Linked DNA regions of Schizosaccharomyces pombe. The gene in region 4 interacts genetically with the main gene of each other region. Each region holds a gene or a part of one and is shown on either strand. Other genes may lie near its edges.

Evidence for each region.
Region 1: mutations in cdr2 (region 4) and ime4 together harm fitness more than expected from each alone (negative genetic interaction), as found in Schizosaccharomyces pombe (one large-scale study listed by BioGRID).
Region 2: mutations in cdr2 (region 4) and SPOM_SPAC824.09C together harm fitness more than expected from each alone (negative genetic interaction), as found in Schizosaccharomyces pombe (one large-scale study listed by BioGRID).
Region 3: mutations in cdr2 (region 4) and mgr2 together harm fitness more than expected from each alone (negative genetic interaction), as found in Schizosaccharomyces pombe (one large-scale study listed by BioGRID).

What each region holds. Positions count from the first base shown.
Region 1 is NC_003424.3:745,998-750,615, reverse strand, and holds ime4 (mRNA (2'-O-methyladenosine-N(6)-)-methyltransferase), read left to right. Parts: upstream 1-1,966; 5' UTR 1,967-2,213; coding exon 2,214-3,473; 3' UTR 3,474-4,079; downstream 4,080-4,618. Other genes in the region: serine/threonine protein kinase Ppk8, read right to left, coding at 1-503, 621-686; bifunctional carbamoyl-phosphate synthase/aspartate carbamoyltransferase Ura1, read left to right, coding at 4,582-4,618.
Region 2 is NC_003424.3:1,699,632-1,703,466, reverse strand, and holds SPOM_SPAC824.09C (GTPase-activating protein), read left to right. Parts: upstream 1-1,843; 5' UTR 1,844-1,865; coding exon 1,866-2,017; exon of another isoform or gene 2,018-2,061; coding exon 2,062-2,105; exon of another isoform or gene 2,106-2,173; intron 2,174-2,174; coding exon 2,175-2,253; intron 2,254-2,324; coding exon 2,325-2,369; intron 2,370-2,507; coding exon 2,508-3,150; 3' UTR 3,151-3,334; downstream 3,335-3,835. Other genes in the region: heterochromatin (HP1) family chromodomain protein Swi6, read left to right, coding at 1-452; Golgi nucleoside-diphosphatase Gda1, read right to left, coding at 3,759-3,835. UniProt on the Schizosaccharomyces pombe protein: GTPase-activating protein for the ADP ribosylation factor family.
Region 3 is NC_003423.3:1,569,641-1,572,902, reverse strand, and holds mgr2 (protein Mgr2), read left to right. Parts: upstream 1-1,983; 5' UTR 1,984-2,050; coding exon 2,051-2,084; exon of another isoform or gene 2,085-2,127; coding exon 2,128-2,456; 3' UTR 2,457-2,699; downstream 2,700-3,262. Other genes in the region: sua1 (sulfate adenylyltransferase), read left to right, coding at 1-1,418; SPOM_SPBC27.05 (uncharacterized protein), read right to left, coding at 2,831-3,157. UniProt on the Schizosaccharomyces pombe protein: Required for cell viability in cells lacking mitochondrial DNA.
Region 4 is NC_003424.3:1,362,930-1,368,487, forward strand, and holds cdr2 (serine/threonine protein kinase Cdr2), read left to right. Parts: upstream 1-1,866; 5' UTR 1,867-1,916; coding exon 1,917-4,244; 3' UTR 4,245-5,039; downstream 5,040-5,558. Other genes in the region: cyclin Pas1, read left to right, coding at 1-877; cyclophilin family peptidyl-prolyl cis-trans isomerase Cyp1, read left to right, coding at 5,282-5,311, 5,352-5,393, 5,459-5,512. UniProt on the Schizosaccharomyces pombe protein: Acts as a mitotic inducer. In G2 it negatively regulates wee1, a mitotic inhibitor. Also has a role in cytokinesis where it required for proper septum formation.

The DNA.
Region 1 (4,618 bases), 620 kb from region 4:
GCCAGAGCGAAGCCGGAGTTCCGTTTTTTTATAAAATTGTCGTTTCCGTTCGGAAGGATATTAATTCTGATCTTCATCTTATCATACATGCTACTATAAAATGATTTAGACTTCTTTTTAAAGTGAAACTGAGGTGGGATATCGTTTGGATCAGAAGATGGATTTTTTCGATAAAGTCTGCTATATGGATTACCACCATTTATGCCATCATTAAGGGTAGCAAATTTCGATTCTGTGGAAGATGACTCTTCCGACATAGATGTTAAAGTGCTTGATAGTGATGAGTGAGTAGTCGATAATTCCTGTAAGCTATGAGCATGATCGAGAAGGTAATCAGATTTATCGCTCTCTTCACTCTCAATGGAGTTGGTAAATGAAATCACAAAGTTTTCGGGTAAAGTTGTAGATGCCGTTAATAATAAGCTACTTCGAGAATATTTAATGTAGGGGTATGAACGGACGGGCTTTAAGTAATTCGAAATAACTTGATCATCCTGTTTATTCTAATATCATTAGTTAGCGTACACCATATTTGAATATTTAGAAAAATAAGGATTTTTTTCTATTCTTTTTTTTAAAGAAAAAAAGATAACTAAAAAAATTAAAGGCAGAAAACATACCGAGGTTAATTCCAATGAATCTGTGCAAAATAAATTATTAGAGTTCTCTTCCGTGATCACAGCCATTGCTCTAAGAATTGTGATTGTAAAAGCTTCTTTCCAAAAAAAAAGTAAAAAAGATATATTAATGAATTAAGTGATAATTAAGGAGAATAAATAAAACGAATCCAGAAATTAAGTGAAACCGATTATAATGACGGGAAAGAAAATCAAACAAATACCGCTTCCCTGATAATGACTGACAAGAAATAAAATAAACACCGCAAATAAGTAAACAACCAAAAAAATTGTAATCGCGCAATGTCTATGCAATACAAGCAAAATAAAAAAATGTTTAACTAAAACGAAGCGAAACGATTATGCATCCCAATGTCGATCCTGATCGCAAAAAAAATTGGTAACGACAATTCCCAATTTAGTAATGTTTATATAGCAAATCTCACGAGCCGAATAGGTTCATCTAATAAATGTCCGAGGAGATAAACCGGAGTTGGTTCGATGAGGAAATTAATGTGAATAAAATATGGTTCCACGTTTCGATATATATTAACGTCGAAAGCAAATACCGTAGAATGCCGGACTGCGTTGTTTTTTTTAAAAATTCATAAACTCCAATGCCAAAATGTTCTATAGAATCGGCAAACTAAAATTTAAGATCGAATTGAACATAAAAACGAAGCGTATTTATATACTGATTGCAGGTCCTTTGCTTGAATCCTATCAATAAATTGTATGATGCTATCTCGTCAAAAAAGTAATGGCTTTATAATAGTGTGGTTATCATTTTGTGAAAACATTACGCCATTAACTGCTTATTTATTTACGCTCCGATTTTTGCAGATTCCTATCCTAACGATCTTTATGATGCTTGTTATTAAATATATTTAGTCATCACCAGCAATTGCTTACTTGATAGTGGAGACGTTAAGGCGAGATAAGGTAGGTGTGTATTTGTAAGACTAAGCATATCGTTTTCCTTATGTAATTAATATTTCGTACTGGCAGCATATAAATTTGTTACCATTTTGAAGGCTGACTAACCACAAAACATTGGTTTTTGCAAGCTATGAATGCTTTGATTACCTAATTCGTTCAATAGAAAAATTTGTACTTCTTAATAGCTTGGATTTTTTATATCGTTCAATGTTATTGTGGGGAGTATCGAAAATCGCACACCAATGTTTCCGTATTAGTTTGAAAGAACTACGTTAACTAGATTCGGTTTTCGTAAATTAGTTTTAAAAAATATCATTAAATGGAAGTTTTTAAAATATCAATAGAGATTTGTTGTTTCAATATTTGGTATTAAGCATAATAAGTTTAACTGCACTCCAGTTGATGGGTACGACGAAACCTATCGAGTAACTTTCGATAAAGTATACACGTTTGTCACGCGTCGAGAGCGGTATTTTCAATTATTCTTATCCGACTGAATTTAATTAACTCAACTCGCTACTTCTTATTTTGAGTTGAGCGCACATAAGCTATTTTTTGAGCTACTAATTTAATAGATTGCTATAACGAAATTCAGCGGTGTCCTTGTGCATTTCATTTATCACGATTGTTTGAGGTTCGGTATTCGTGTAATTTTTAATGCCATGTATATTATACATGGACGACACTAGTTGTCTCATTGACTTGCCAACATCTCTGCAATTTAATAAACATATTTTGCCCACTCGAACGAAGCCTGTCGTGAAGCCATATTTACTCCCCGAAAAATCAACTTCGGATTATGAAAACAGTGGCAAAGGCACTGTAGGGCAAGTACTGCAAAGCCTTCAGCGAGTTCGTCGTGCTTTACAGTTGCGCAGTTTGGATGACAATCAATCAACCGATAAATCACACCATGTTCAATTTCAAGATATCGTATACAGGTCAAATACTAGTGCATCAGAAATCCATTTTCAAGCTGAAAATGCTCCTTTAGTGCAATGGTACTCAGACATTTTCAAAGTACTAGTTAAAGCACCGGTTATACAGTTTGAGGATCAGTGCTTGCAATGGTTGAAAATGTTGAATACTATTCCACCGTCATATTCATTTATAACTATAAAGTCTAAAGATACAGTTGAACTTGGATTGGAAGAGATTTATCAACAATGTGTCCAAAATGATGGAGCGTCCGCTATAAAATTAAAGCTGAAGGGATCAAAGGTTATTACTGAATCGTCTGAAACTAATTGTAGGGATTCAATTTACTACATCCCTGCTCGTTCCTCTTTTATTATGGGTGACGTGGAGAAAACTGCGCAAATCCTTTTAGAAGCAATTGATGGCCATCTAGAAAAACCCAAATGCATAATTATAGACCCTCCATGGCCGAATAAATCTGTAGCTAGGAGCTCTGTCTATAAGGTGAACAGGAACCTTGGATATTTAAAAGCATTACCAATTCAGGAATCGTTAAGCAAAACCGGCGTCGTGGCAGTTTGGTGCACAAATAAGGAAAAGTATGTAAATTTTGTTAAAAAAGTGCTTTTTAAAAAATGGAATTTAACGCTTGTCTCTACATGGACATGGCTTAAAATAACGGCATTTGGCGAACCATTATTTGATGTTTATTCAAACATGCGCAAACCTTGGGAACAGCTTTTGATTGGAGTTACTTCAGAATATACATCTGTATATAGTGATAAAATCCCTCCAACGTTTACAATAATTGGTATTCCAGATTATCATTCCAGGAAACCATCATTAAAACCTTTCATTTCACGTTGGTTTAATTGTTCGGCAAATGAATCGCTTCCTGTTTTAGAAATTTTTGGCCGTAGTCTCACACCTAATTGGATTACATGGGGGAGGGAACCTTTGTTGTTTATGCATGAATTATACTGGTCATCAGACAATTGATGGAAAATGCTACATTGTTCGTATTGTGGTAAATTTTTGACCATGGTTTAAATGTTGTTTTATTTTTTCTTCCATTCTCTGTTTAAGATATCTCAGATCACGAATTACTACTGAAAGACGTAGAATAAATCAATACGTTTTAACGTTACCTGATGGTTTATGAGTAAACTACTTTATGCTATAAGAGCTCAAACTCATTCACTGTAGTATAACTTTATTAGGAAAAGCTCACTACTAATGTTCCTAAAATACTAAACTACCAAAGATACAATTTTTTTATAAAAAACCACTTTCGACTTTTTATTGCTAAAAGCTCAAACGGCGTGATGAGAAAAAAACTATTGCGAAGGTTTTACTTTTAAATTTTCTTAATATACCATAGGTCGACATCGTTTTGTTTTTCTACTGATATTCTTATGATGAGCTGTTGATATGTTTACTGGCTTTACCAAGCTTTCATTGACTAATGTATTAAGCACAAATCGGCTGCTATCCCTTCATTACCGATATCCTAAGTACTGTGTTATGTAGATACCGATGCTGAAAAATTACGTAAACCAAAATAACAATATTTAATCATAGATGGCGTTGTGTTTTTAAAACAGGTTGCGTCATACATGAAACTTTTATATTTGCTCAGAGAAAAAAAGAAAATATTCTCCTTTACAAGTTAGTTGGTAAGCAATATAAATCTTTAATTTTGTATCAAGTAGACCGCTCATAAAATGCCTTGGTTCGAAGACCGAAAAGCGGAAGTGAAATGTCATACCCTAAACATACACCGTAGCACAGTGTACCGCACTACTGGTTAATCCACGACAAGCAAAAAATTTTCCAACAACTCTTTCGGATTTGCCAGTTCTCGTCCTATAGGATTGTTAGAAACTGCCTAACACAGAAACTGAATTCTAAAAATTAGAATAGATTTATTTAATTTTTTTTATTTATCTGTAAAAATTTTAGTGTACATTGTGCTTTGACGAAAGCGTAAGTATTTTTTTTTCTGCTCAGGTTTTAAATTCTTTCTTGAGACCAACCACTCCTTAGAAGCAATATCTGGGAATCGCTAGTCTTAAGCCTCAAATCTGTGGAATTGTTGATATAAGCGATGTCCGGATTGCTACCTTCATTGTCTTCATCATTTC
Region 2 (3,835 bases), 340 kb from region 4:
AAGATGTGAATGAGAAAACTATTAAATTCGCCGATAAATCGCAAGAGGAATTTAATGAGAACGGCCCACCTTCTGGTCAGCCGAATGGTCACATTGAATCTGACAATGAGTCTAAATCTCCTTCACAAAAAGAATCGAATGAAAGTGAGGATATTCAAATAGCAGAGACCCCTAGCAATGTTACTCCGAAAAAGAAGCCTAGTCCGGAAGTTCCCAAACTTCCGGACAACAGAGAGCTGACGGTTAAACAAGTAGAAAACTATGATTCTTGGGAAGACTTGGTATCTAGCATCGATACAATTGAACGAAAAGATGATGGAACCTTGGAAATTTATCTGACTTGGAAGAACGGTGCAATATCTCATCATCCTAGTACTATCACCAATAAAAAATGTCCTCAGAAGATGCTTCAATTTTATGAAAGCCACTTAACGTTCCGTGAAAATGAATAATTTTTTTGTGTTCCTTTAAAAAATTCTTTTTCTTTTGTTTATAAATTAGATTTCGCTTTTTTCTGACGTTATTGCTTTTATCAAGTCCCGTGTCGTAGTATGAGTTCTTGTTCTCTTACTCGAAAAATGCATCTAACATTATACTTATACAAATTTTTGTTAGGCGCTTAACATCACATTCTAGTTTATGAACGCCTTTGTTTTCTTTCACATTGAATTGATTACGAGTGACTTGAGAAATGTAAAATACCTTTTGTCGTTATGGTTTGACATTCTAAATAACCTAAGGTTTGACATTCTAGATAACCTAATTTCTTTAATTTTACCATTTATTAATTTAGCATGCACTGCTCTTCATGCATTCAAAATCGTGTCTAATAATAACGTAATTTTACTCGTTAAATAAAGAATTTATGCATGCAAAATCGTTACTCATAAACCTCAGCAGATAAATTTGTTAACAAAAATGAGGGTGCATGAATATCTGCCTTCTCCGTTTCTTCTGTTCCATATGCTTCTAAGTTTGGGTTACCAACTGAACTCAAAGATAGGGTCAAGATGTAGTGTATCAAGTTTGAATCTTTATCAAGTACTATGTTGCCTCTTGAGAAATTCGTTTGAGAATAGCTGTATAGCTAAAGATAAATAAGGGTTTGAATGTAATTGTTGCTATGTAAACACAGTTGTAATTATAGATTTTTAATTGTTGCTGCTTTTGTACATTAGCAAAAAAAAATACAAGCAAGTTATGATGAAGAAGTCTGGTTATGCTATTTTTCTAAGAAGCTGGGATAAATTCATATTTTGTTCCTCTTTTTTTTTTTTTTTAAATATGTTTATGTCAGATTGGCAGATTTACCATATAAACACATAATGGCAAATTATGGCAAACTTTGCAAATGAACATGTATTTATCGAATTTCCTTGTTATCTTTTTTTATTGCTAGCAACACATGAAGACATCAGTCCCCTCTCGGCAATACATATTATCGATTGACACTACTGTATGCTGAGACTGAACAACAGAGTTCTCACTTGGACTTTTTGCTTGCTCCTCAAAGACTTTTAAAAAATTAAATAATAACTATTATATTTCTAACTGTTTTTAATCTAATTATTAGTCACAAGTTGCGCTTTTGTTATATATATGACTTCTATTCAAATTGTGTATACCTCTTTGAACTGCAACGTACTGTGGCTAATTATAATAATATTTAATGCTAAATGTTTTTAACGATGTTGATTGATAAAAAACCGCGTAATCATCAGAAAAGGAAGGATGCTTTTCTTTGCTATTCAAAACAAAGGGACGTAATTGTGCACTGTAACATTGCAATACGGTAGATTGTTCATTGACCCAAAATCACTAGACTTAACCAGTTTTATAATTTGCCTAGTAATCCTTGAAGTGTAATGATAAATTCAAAAAGCAAAAAGAAGGAATCAAATGCCCTCGTTTTAAAGTCGCTTTTGCGGGAACCTTACAACAAAGTTTGCGCGGATTGTAAGCGCAATGAACAACCACGATGGGCAAGTTGGAACTTGGGTGTTTTCATTTGTATCAGGTAAGTAATAGCTGCTTAAAATTGAAATCATTAACACTTGTTAGATGCTCAGGAGTGCATCGAAGTCTTGGAGTTCATGTTAGTCGTGGTATGATTACCTAGGATACAAAATTTAATGTTAAAAAACTCAGAATCAGAAATTAACAGACAAAACTAGTAAAATCTGTTGATTTGGATTCATGGACAGATGAACAAACTGAAAATATGACAAGATGGGGAAATGAACGTGCTAATTTGTAAGTTTGTCTACTTTTCAAAAAAACTTTGCGCTCACGTCCTAAAATATAAAAACTAACAACTTTAATAGGTATTGGGAAGCCAAACTTGCGGGTGGTCACGTTCCCTCTGATAGGTAGGTTTTTATTGATAATCCTTAGCATAGCTGGCATTGAATGTTATCTTTCTAGGCTACATACCCTTTACACGTTGCTAGCAAATTGGAAGCTTCTTTTTTGTTTTTTTTACTGCATATTTTCTGACCTAGATTTAGTAAAATTGCGACTTTTATAAAGACGAAATACGAATTTAAAAAATGGGTACTCTACCCTGAAATTCCTTCTCCGGAAACGCTAAAACCGGAACAGAATACCAGACCTGTTTCAGAAGTCAACGCCTCTTTAGATCTTAATACTGCTTCTCGATCTTCCAGTGCTCACTCAGTTAAAAGCACTTCTTCTGCTACAGTTACCAACGTTACTTCCAAGAAAGAAGCTATATCAGCTACCACTTCTTTAGCCCAGTCGTCTCCTAATTTAGCTTCTTTATCCAAGCAACCTTCTACTGTGCATGCTCCTTCGACTAGACAACGAGATTTAAAGTCTTCAATTCTCTCCTTATATGCATCTCCACGACCACAAGTAAGTTCTTCAAGCATAACCACCAATGCAACATACCAAAATCTACCGTCCCCAGTTTCAACTAGTACTACGTCTAGCCAACCTTATGGTGCTTTTCATCAACCGGCTACGACAGGATCCTCCTTTGTGGCAGATAAGTGGAAGATGCCTATGTTCACTTCTAATGTGACCAGTGCACAACCATCTGCTAGAGCATCACCCGTTCAATCCAATTCTTCTCGGCCGCGATCTTCTTTAGACAGTAAGATTATTAATTCTCATGATGTTTGGAAATAGCCTTTAGTGACGCTTATACAAATTAACAGAGGTTTTTACTACTTATTTTGAAATATTTCATTAATTTAGCTATTTAAGTTCATCAATCGATGTCGGCATTTATGGATTCCTATATTCAACCTTCATTATAATACATTTTCTACTTTTCAGTAAATATAAATGACATAAATGTATTTATTAGGTCTATTATCGCTGAAAGTTTATTAAGTATTAAAAGCTAGCACACATTGTATGTATTCCGTAAAAAGATGCCTACGATATTTGGGAAAATTGCCTTGATCAATTTCAACTTTCCCAGAAATTTGAAAGATTTGATTTACATGAAACAAACCAGTGGAATAAAGAATGTCCCTCAATCTATTAATGTTAGTTGTACAACAAATGTTAGATTTGCTATACGCCCGTAAAGAAGTTAACACTGAAAGGAGCGGAGTAGCGAATTTTGAGACATGGAAATAATATGGACGAATGTAGAAAAGAAAAAAGAAAAAAGAAAAAACAAGAAAAAAAACAGGATCAACTATATTAACCCTTGACCTCCTGAGGTTTTAAGCAAACAAGTTTACATATGCTTGTTGTTCATTCAACATAATAAAAGAAGGTAAAAACTAAATTTCTTCTTTCACGTTACAATTCCAACCATTGTTTTGCTCTGACAACATAGACAAACTAGCTCCCAAACACC
Region 3 (3,262 bases), on a different chromosome or scaffold from region 4:
AACTGGAACAGGAGGCTACTAGCCTTCCCAAAATTGTACTATCGGAACGTCAGTTTTGCGATGTGGAACTCATTTTGAACGGAGGTTTCAGTCCATTAGACGGATTCATGAACCAAAAGGATTATTTGAATGTCGTCGAGAATTTGCGTCTCAGCACTGGCGAGGTCTTTCCCATCCCTATCACCTTGGACCTCAATGAATCGCAGGCCGATTCTTTGAAGGCCGGTGATCGTGTTGCATTATTAGATCCTAGGGATGGGCAAACTGTTATTGCCATTTTGACTGTTGAGGACAAGTATACCCCAGATAAGGCGAACGAAGCTGAAAAGGTATTTGGTGCTAATGATCGCGCCCACCCTGCCGTCGACTACTTGTTTGGTCGTGCTGGAAATGTGTATGTTGGTGGTAAACTTCAAGCCGTTACTCCTATTCGCCATTTCGATTTCGTAGAGTACCGCTACTCACCTGCTCAACTTCGCTCTGACTTCCAGCGTAACAACTGGAATCGCGTCGTTGCTTTCCAAACCCGTAATCCCATGCATCGCGCCCATCGTGAGCTTACCGTCCGTGCTGCTAAGCAACACGGTGCCCGTGTGCTCATTCACCCTGTCGTCGGTATGACCAAGCCTGGTGATATCGATCACTTCACCCGTGTGCGTGTTTACGAGGCTATTCTCCAACGCTATCCTAAGGGTTCCGCCAAGCTCTCTCTTCTTCCCTTAGCCATGCGTATGGCTGGTCCTCGTGAAGCTTTATGGCACGCCATCATTCGTAAGAACTACGGTGCTTCTCATTTCATCATTGGTCGTGATCATGCTGGTCCTGGTAAGAACAGTCAAGGCGAGGATTTTTATGGTCCTTACGATGCTCAGTACCTTGTTGAACAATACGCTCAGGAAATCGGTATCACCATTGTTCCTTTCCAAATGATGACTTACCTTCCTGATGAGGACATCTACAAGCCAGTTGACAAAGTCGAACCCGGTACCCGTACTTTGAACATCAGTGGTACTGAACTTCGTCGCCGTCTTCGCGTCGGTGCCAACATCCCTGAGTGGTTCTCTTATCCAGAGGTTGTCGCTATTTTACGTCAATCCTATCCTCCCAAATACTCTCAAGGATTTGTTTTGGCTGTTCCTGCCACCTCCGATAAACTTCTCCCCAGCGCTCTAGTTTCAGCCTTGAACGAGGATGGTCGCCGCCATGTCACTCTTTTACCTCGCTTAGATGCTATTTCAGTGTTTTACGCCCAAGAATTGCAACGTGCTGGTGCTGCCGTTGTTGTTTCTCTGGCTGATGCTGATGCATCTGTTAAAGTACCTGCTGAGTGGACTACCGTAAACATCAAGCCCAAAGACTCTGTTTCTGAGGTTACTTTTGCTGTCCTTTCACAATTGTCTGACGAAGGCTATCTTTAAAATAATGTTTTTTGACATATATATATATATATATATATACATATATCCATTTTTGTTCTTTTATGTTCTACTTGTCTATTAAATAATAAAATAATTGCTGCAGGAATGACAACACTCCCTCATTAGAACTTTGCCATTTGTAGATGTAACTAAGAATGCAACTCAATTAAATTTCGCTAAGGACATGTTAGTAATTAATTAGCGATAGGCTTCTTAATAACAAAAGGTAGGAAATTCAATCCGAAGCCGAGGGGAATTAATTTATTATATATGTCAGATATACATAGCAGACTTTAGCAATTGCAATACATGCCAATGCAATGTTTTATTTTAATTCAGAAGTCATTATAACGTTAAGCCTATGCTCTCACTTAACGCATGCCTGGATGTAATACATTGTTACATTTACTTAAAAAAACTGGGCTTATAAAAAATATATATATAGGTTTTCTTTAAATTAACATTTCCTAAACTAAACTATTGATTTAACAAAAGAAATTGTTACATCTATTGTTATACCTAGGTATCCAATATAATAACTGTATACTACCTTACTTTTCCTACCAACAAAATCCCCCTTGAAACTAGTGCTCTCTATTTCTAAATAAAAGTAAGACCTTTAACTACTCAAAATGCAATCTATGCAACCTTCAACTGTGGATAAGCGTAAGTTCTATATTGTATGAATTCAGTCATTAACACTGAACAGTAAAAATGGGCGCCATTATGGGTTCAGCTGCTGGACTTGGCATCGGGTTTTTATTTGGAGGAGTAGCAGTTTTGCGCTATGGGCCTGGTCCACGTGGATTCTTAAGGACCTTAGGTCAATACATGTTAACATCTGCGGCCACTTTTGGCTTTTTCATGTCCATCGGCTCTGTAATTCGCAACGAAGATATACCACTAATACAGCAGTCAGGCTCACATTGGAATCAAAGATTATTAAATGAAAATGCAAATTCCAGTCGTATTTTTGCCTTGGCTATGCAACAGGCCAAAAGTTCTCCACGTAAATCAAATGAAGTTGCTGAGTGCTAATTTCGTTTAATCCGATTATAATAAAAGTATCATACTATCATTTTGTTAGTATATGAGGTACAATATTTGTTTCTCCTGAATTCTGAGTTAAAGATGTACTGATGATTGTACTATCATGCATTTAAACTAAAAAGCTTTGGCCGCTACATCAAAGGACTTTTGCATTTTTCTGATAGTTCATGTTTAAAAAAGTCTTTATACCATATTGTTAATATTTTGATGGCGATTTAATTTTCCTTAAAATTTTTACGATTTAAAGATTTGGGTAATTTGCTAGGTGGTAAATTGGTAAATTAGTTTGTTTCGATGAATAATATTTGTAGCAATAGTTACAAAAAATGATCGAAGACAAGCTATTACAAATAAGCTAATTATTATTTGATCATAAAGATATTTAGAAACAATACTTGTGCCTTAAAACTTGCAATATCAATAATGCTTGTCATAAGGAAGATTCGGTTACATATGGGTTGAAGATACATATGCTCATTAGTATTATTAAATGTATTATATATGCTTGATGTTATCACTTCTTTAGATGCTAATTGTAATGTAAATGCGTCTGTTGTCTCTTTTTGTACACGCATTATTAGTTGGTATCTTATATAAAACTTCGATTCAATCTCCAACTGGTAAAGCAAAATGCAATTAATGCCAGAATAAAATAAATATGCAAGTCCATAAACCGTTGTATGCACCATTCATAAGCAGAATTTACTGCGTTCATAAAGTTGCGAAAGCATAGTCTTCAAAATCTTTCGTTTGCTTCTTAGCCAAAATTCAAAAAAAAACTTGAAAGCACCTGC
Region 4 (5,558 bases):
TGTTTTGGAATATATGTTTTACCAATGCATCGATTATCGTCTTGTCGTTCCTAAACATATTTTTGCTAGATGGTCTCTTTTAGTTGGTGAATGTTGTGCTCACGCGACTGCACGTTATGATTCCACCGATCCTAATGTTGCCTCATTTGGCAGCGTCGCACAATATTGGGTCTCTTTGTTTTCTAATGTTCAATCTTCTCTAGATGATCTTTTTTCCATTGCCTGTTTAACGAAGATAGCACATCGCAGAATGAATGCTAATGCTGCTTTGAAGAATCAGGCTACGAGGAAGCCCTCCTCTTCTCCTCAAACAACTCAAGACTCATCACCTATTCTTACGATGGCACCTTCTACTCCAGTATCTGTTGGCAGTACCCCTCCATCCACTCCATCTGTTTTACCCATTGCCAAACAACTGGCTCCTATGAATGTCTGTAAAGCACATATTCAGGCTTCAAATCAGTCCCGCACTTTGACTACTGCTTCGCCACCCGAACAAATACCGCTTATGGAACCGCAAGTTTATGTAAATCCTCAAGTATTACCGGGTCGGTTGTCAAGCCTTTCTAAGCCAGTTAGTCTACCACCAACTCCTTCTTCACCAAAGGTTGGAGTATATCGGCCAATGACTTCTAAGTCCAATGGAGGTGTTGCTTACTGCTATAATGCTCAAAAATTGAACAATGCTACTGGTCCAGTTACATTTAATATGCCTTTTGCAAGCGTCTTACCACTTGCCGTATCTGTGAGTTGTGATCTGGGTACAGCGTCTGCATATGTCGCGTCCCTCCCTCAACCTTGTTCTCAAAAAAGGCATTTAGAAGAAGACTACTCATGTTTAACGGAACACAGTGCTAAGCGTCGCAGTTACTTTTAATTATCAAGCCCAATCTGCGCTGTCTTCGCCGCTTCTTTCAAAAACTATAATATTTAATGAATAATTTCATAATACTGATGCCATTTTAACAGCGGATGTCAATAAATACCGATAATGTTTTCTTTCTATTGATTTATCTATTCAAATTGTGTGGAAGATAATCATGATATGGGAAACTTGATTAGGTTTATATTACTACCTTCTTTTCATATCTAGACTTGTCAATGTTTTGATTAAAAATCAAATATTGTTGTCGTTTCTATGAATCTTTTTTTAACATTCTAATAGCAAAACGATGTATATATGGTATGAATGAATTAACGATTGGCAACTATATTTACTTATGCATCTTGTAAATTGATATCAGTAGAGCAAGGTATTCAAAAAAGATAATTTTGTTGATTTCTTATGGCCATAAACTTGTCAAATAGTCAAACTATTTAGAGATTATGTATGTGCTCATTAAGATAGTTATATATTTTAGGCAGGTGAATGTAGCCATTTGAAATCTACTACTGAGCTCCAATCCTATTTGAAGGCTCTAAGAGTCCTTTCAATCATTTTTTAACAGAGTTGTCTAAGTAATATTTTTTCAACGATTAAACTGTGAAACATTGAACTAAAATATCTTGATCATTTACAAAAGCAGTAATTGCTACACCGTACTACTAGTAGAGCCAATTTTGATTACGGTCTTTAAAACAATGTTGAATACACTAATTGTAAGCGATTTTTGTAAAAACTAATAATTATACGTATCTTCTTGAACATCACGAAAATTAACTGATATTTCCCTAAAGTACAGTTGCAAGTAGGAAGGATTAAGACAAAACAACAAATTATATACTAAAAATTTTACAAATGTTAAAATCAATTTCACATATATATTTTGTTGTAATTAAATGCACTCAAATACTATAGCTTACAAGTTTAGGGAGCATTACGGAGAACATCCCACATATGCTGTTCTATGAATGGGGTTTGGATTTGGCCATCACCACTTCACCGATTTACTGGTTCTTTTGAATAGTTGAAGTGTATGAGTACAATTTCAGAAGTTGGACCTTGGGAGCTTGGTCTTTCCTTAGGATCAGGAGGACCAAATTCATCACGTTTAGCCAAACATCGTGAAACTGGGCAATTAGCCGTAGTAAAACCGATTGTAGGATGGTCCGAGCTTACTTCGAGCCAACAGGCTAGGATAGAGGGTGAATTAGTTTTGCTTCGATTGATCGAGCATCCTAATGTTTTGCAGCTCATAGATGTGATTTCAGCCCAGGAGCAACTCTTTGTCGTAGTCGAATATATGCCAGGTGGTGAGCTTTTTGACTGCATGCTTCGTAAAGGAAGTTTTACTGAGCAAGATACGGCAAAGTTTCTATGGCAGATTTTGTGTGGATTGGAGTATTGTCATAAACTTCATATCTGCCACCGGGATTTAAAGCCAGAGAACTTATACTTGGATGCCCATGGTTCTATCAAAATCGGTGAATTCGGTATGGCGTCTATTCAACAGCCAGGAAAGCTTTTGCAGACTTCCTGCGGGTCTCCCCATTACGCATCCCCAGAAATTATTATGGGGCGTTCATATGATGGTTGTGCTAGCGATATTTGGTCATGTGGAATTATATTTTTTGCTTTGTTAACAGGGAAATTACCGTTTGATGATGACAACATTCGTTCTTTGTTGCTAAAAGTCTGTCAGGGTCAATTTGAAATGCCATCAAATATCTCTCCTCAAGCCCAACATCTGTTGTACCGCATGCTTGATGTTGATTCATCTACTCGAATTACCATGGAACAAATTCGTGAACACCCGTTTCTTAGTTGCTTTGTTCATCCCAATATTTCTATTCCAATCATATCAGCCCCTATACAACCCATTGATCCATTAATAGTGCAGCATCTCTCTTTAGTTTTCAGATGTTCCGATGATCCTATGCCCTTGTATGAAAAATTGGCATCTCAATCACCCTTGGTTGAAAAAACTCTATATACTCTACTGAGCAGACACTTGCATCCGCCTTCCAGCGCTGCAGTTGATCGCAACCGCGCTGTGGTCGATGATCTCCTTGGTACAGCAGCATCCAACGGGCAGCAAATGGACGAGGAAGAAATTGAACAAGCTATCAATATTCCTACTTTAGCGCCTTATCCAATTTCTTATGCTGCAGAGTCTGTTCCTCGACCTGCTACTTCTGCATCGCCATTTCTTACACCTGTTACCACTTCTGGCACTTTTAATTACTCTTTTAATGCTACCAACCCCCAATCCATACTTCAACGACCAGCCACTACATCTTCTGCTGTTCCTCAACTCCCAAAATCAGTTACCCCAGGACTTGCATATCCCCACGATAGTTCAATGCTGTCATCAAATTACCGACCTCCTTCTGCATTATCTCCTCGCAACTTTAACGTTTCTATAAACGATCCGGAAGTTCAACTAAGTCGTCGCGCTACTTCACTGGATATGTCAAATGATTTTCGTATGAATGAGAATGACCCTAGTATTGTTGGTAATTTAGCAGCTTCCAATTTCCCGACAGGTATGGGACCTCCAAGAAAGCGTGTCACTTCTAGAATGTCCGAACACACTGGTAATCGAGTCGTAAGCTTCCCGCGCGGCAGTGCTTTTAATCCAAGAGTTACTCGCTTCAACGTAGGAAATGAACAATTCTCTAATAATATTGATAATAATAACTATAATCAACCATACGCAAATGCAACCATGAACAACTCTCGTCGTCTTCGTACCCCTAGTGGGGAGAGATCAATGCGTGCTGATCTCTCTCAATCACCAGCCTCTTATGATTCGTTGAATGTTCCCAAACATAGAAGAAGACAATCGTTATTCTCTCCTTCTTCTACAAAGAAAAAGCTTTCCGGCTCACCTTTTCAACCAAAACGATCATTTTTAAGGAGATTATTTAGTAGTGAGCCTTCTTGTAAATGCGTCTATGCCAGCTTGGTTGCTTCAGAATTGGAACATGAAATTTTAGAAGTTCTTAGAAGATGGCAGCTTCTTGGTATCGGCATTGCTGATATTATATATGATTCTGTGAGTGCTTCGATATCTGCTCGTATTAAACGACAAAATTCACTTAATCTTAAACCGGTTCGGTTTAGAATATCGGTACTGGCTGAGTTTTTTGGTTCACAAGCTGTCTTTGTGTTGGAAAGCGGTTCTTCTACAACTTTTGACCATTTGGCTACAGAATTCCAGCTGATTTTTGAAGATAAGGGGTTTTTGGATAATTTGGAACTCTCTTATTTTCAAGCTTCGGCATCCAGACCTGTTTCTCGAATGAGTGTAAGTAGTAGTCCTTTTGCTGTATTTCGTCAACGACAATCCGTCCAAAGTTAAATTCTTTTATTATTATTATTATCATTTTTTTTTGATTCTCCAAAACCTTTGCAAACTTCATTTTTCTCGTGATGCTTTGGAAAAAAAAGGATTATCAAAAAAGCTAATCGTTTGATAATTGAACATAATGTATACTCGTGGAAGTATTGGAACTTTTTGAATTAAGCTTTCATTTTGTCCCATATTGGAACTCTTTTTATACACCAACAATATCTTTATAGACCTCCATTCTTTTTCTGATGTTTTTCTTTTACTTGTTCAACTTGCTATATGGAACCACGGTTATCCGGGAAGCAATAAATGCATTTAATGATTAAATTATATTTTGCTGCTCTGCTACAATGTTTCTCTTGGAACCTGTTGAGTTTTGTACATGTGATGTTGTACTTGGAACTTACTCCAATGATAATAACTTGCATGTCTGAAGCAAGGTAATTTTTGTATTTAGTATGACCGGCTATTGCTGGCATCTTTTTTGAAATACATTTTTCTTATTTAATTTAGGTATAAAATTTTTTATCTTAATCAATCTTTTCTTTTGGCTTTCTAACTCTTCGTTCTAAATCACAATCTTTTTAGTCTCGTTTATTTCAATCGATTTGACTTTTTCTTCATCTTATTTATCACAATCAACTAGCACTAGCGGATACAATTTCAATGAACTGCAGCATAGGTCGTATTATGTTTAGAAATTTATGACCCTTCTGCTTGTTCTGTATAAATTAAATTTATTCCAATTAAGTATTTGGTCGCTCAATGCTAATTAGTATGATATTAAATTTGAGTGGAATTCAATATGTAACCTGCTTACTTCGATAGTTGAAGAAATACATTTGAAGTTGTAGGATATCTAGGTTATCTGCATTGTACAAAGAGTCTGTTTTTTTGGAATGAAGTACGTGACATATTATTAAGCACTTTTAAAATTGTCTGTGCAATTGCCTTTTCAGTATTTTTAGCGAGGTTGCAACTTCAACTTATTACTTGAACAAGCAGCGAAAAACTGCAAGAAAATCGTGTAAAAACTAGTAAATACCATGGCTAATGTAGAGTTACAAACAAGTTTGGTAAGATCTTTTCCAAGCTCAAGCATTTAACATTTTTTAGGGAAAAATTCTTATTGAATTGTATACAGAACATGCTCCTAAAGTACGCATCAAGAATAAAGGACGAACAGTGTTGTTTGCTTTGAAAGTAGAATCGCTAACTTATAGACATGTCAAAATTTCTATACTTTAGCAAAAGAAGGATACTATGATGGTGTTATTGTAAGTTTTTTTCGCACTGTTTGCATCGTGCAAATAAGCATGTTGA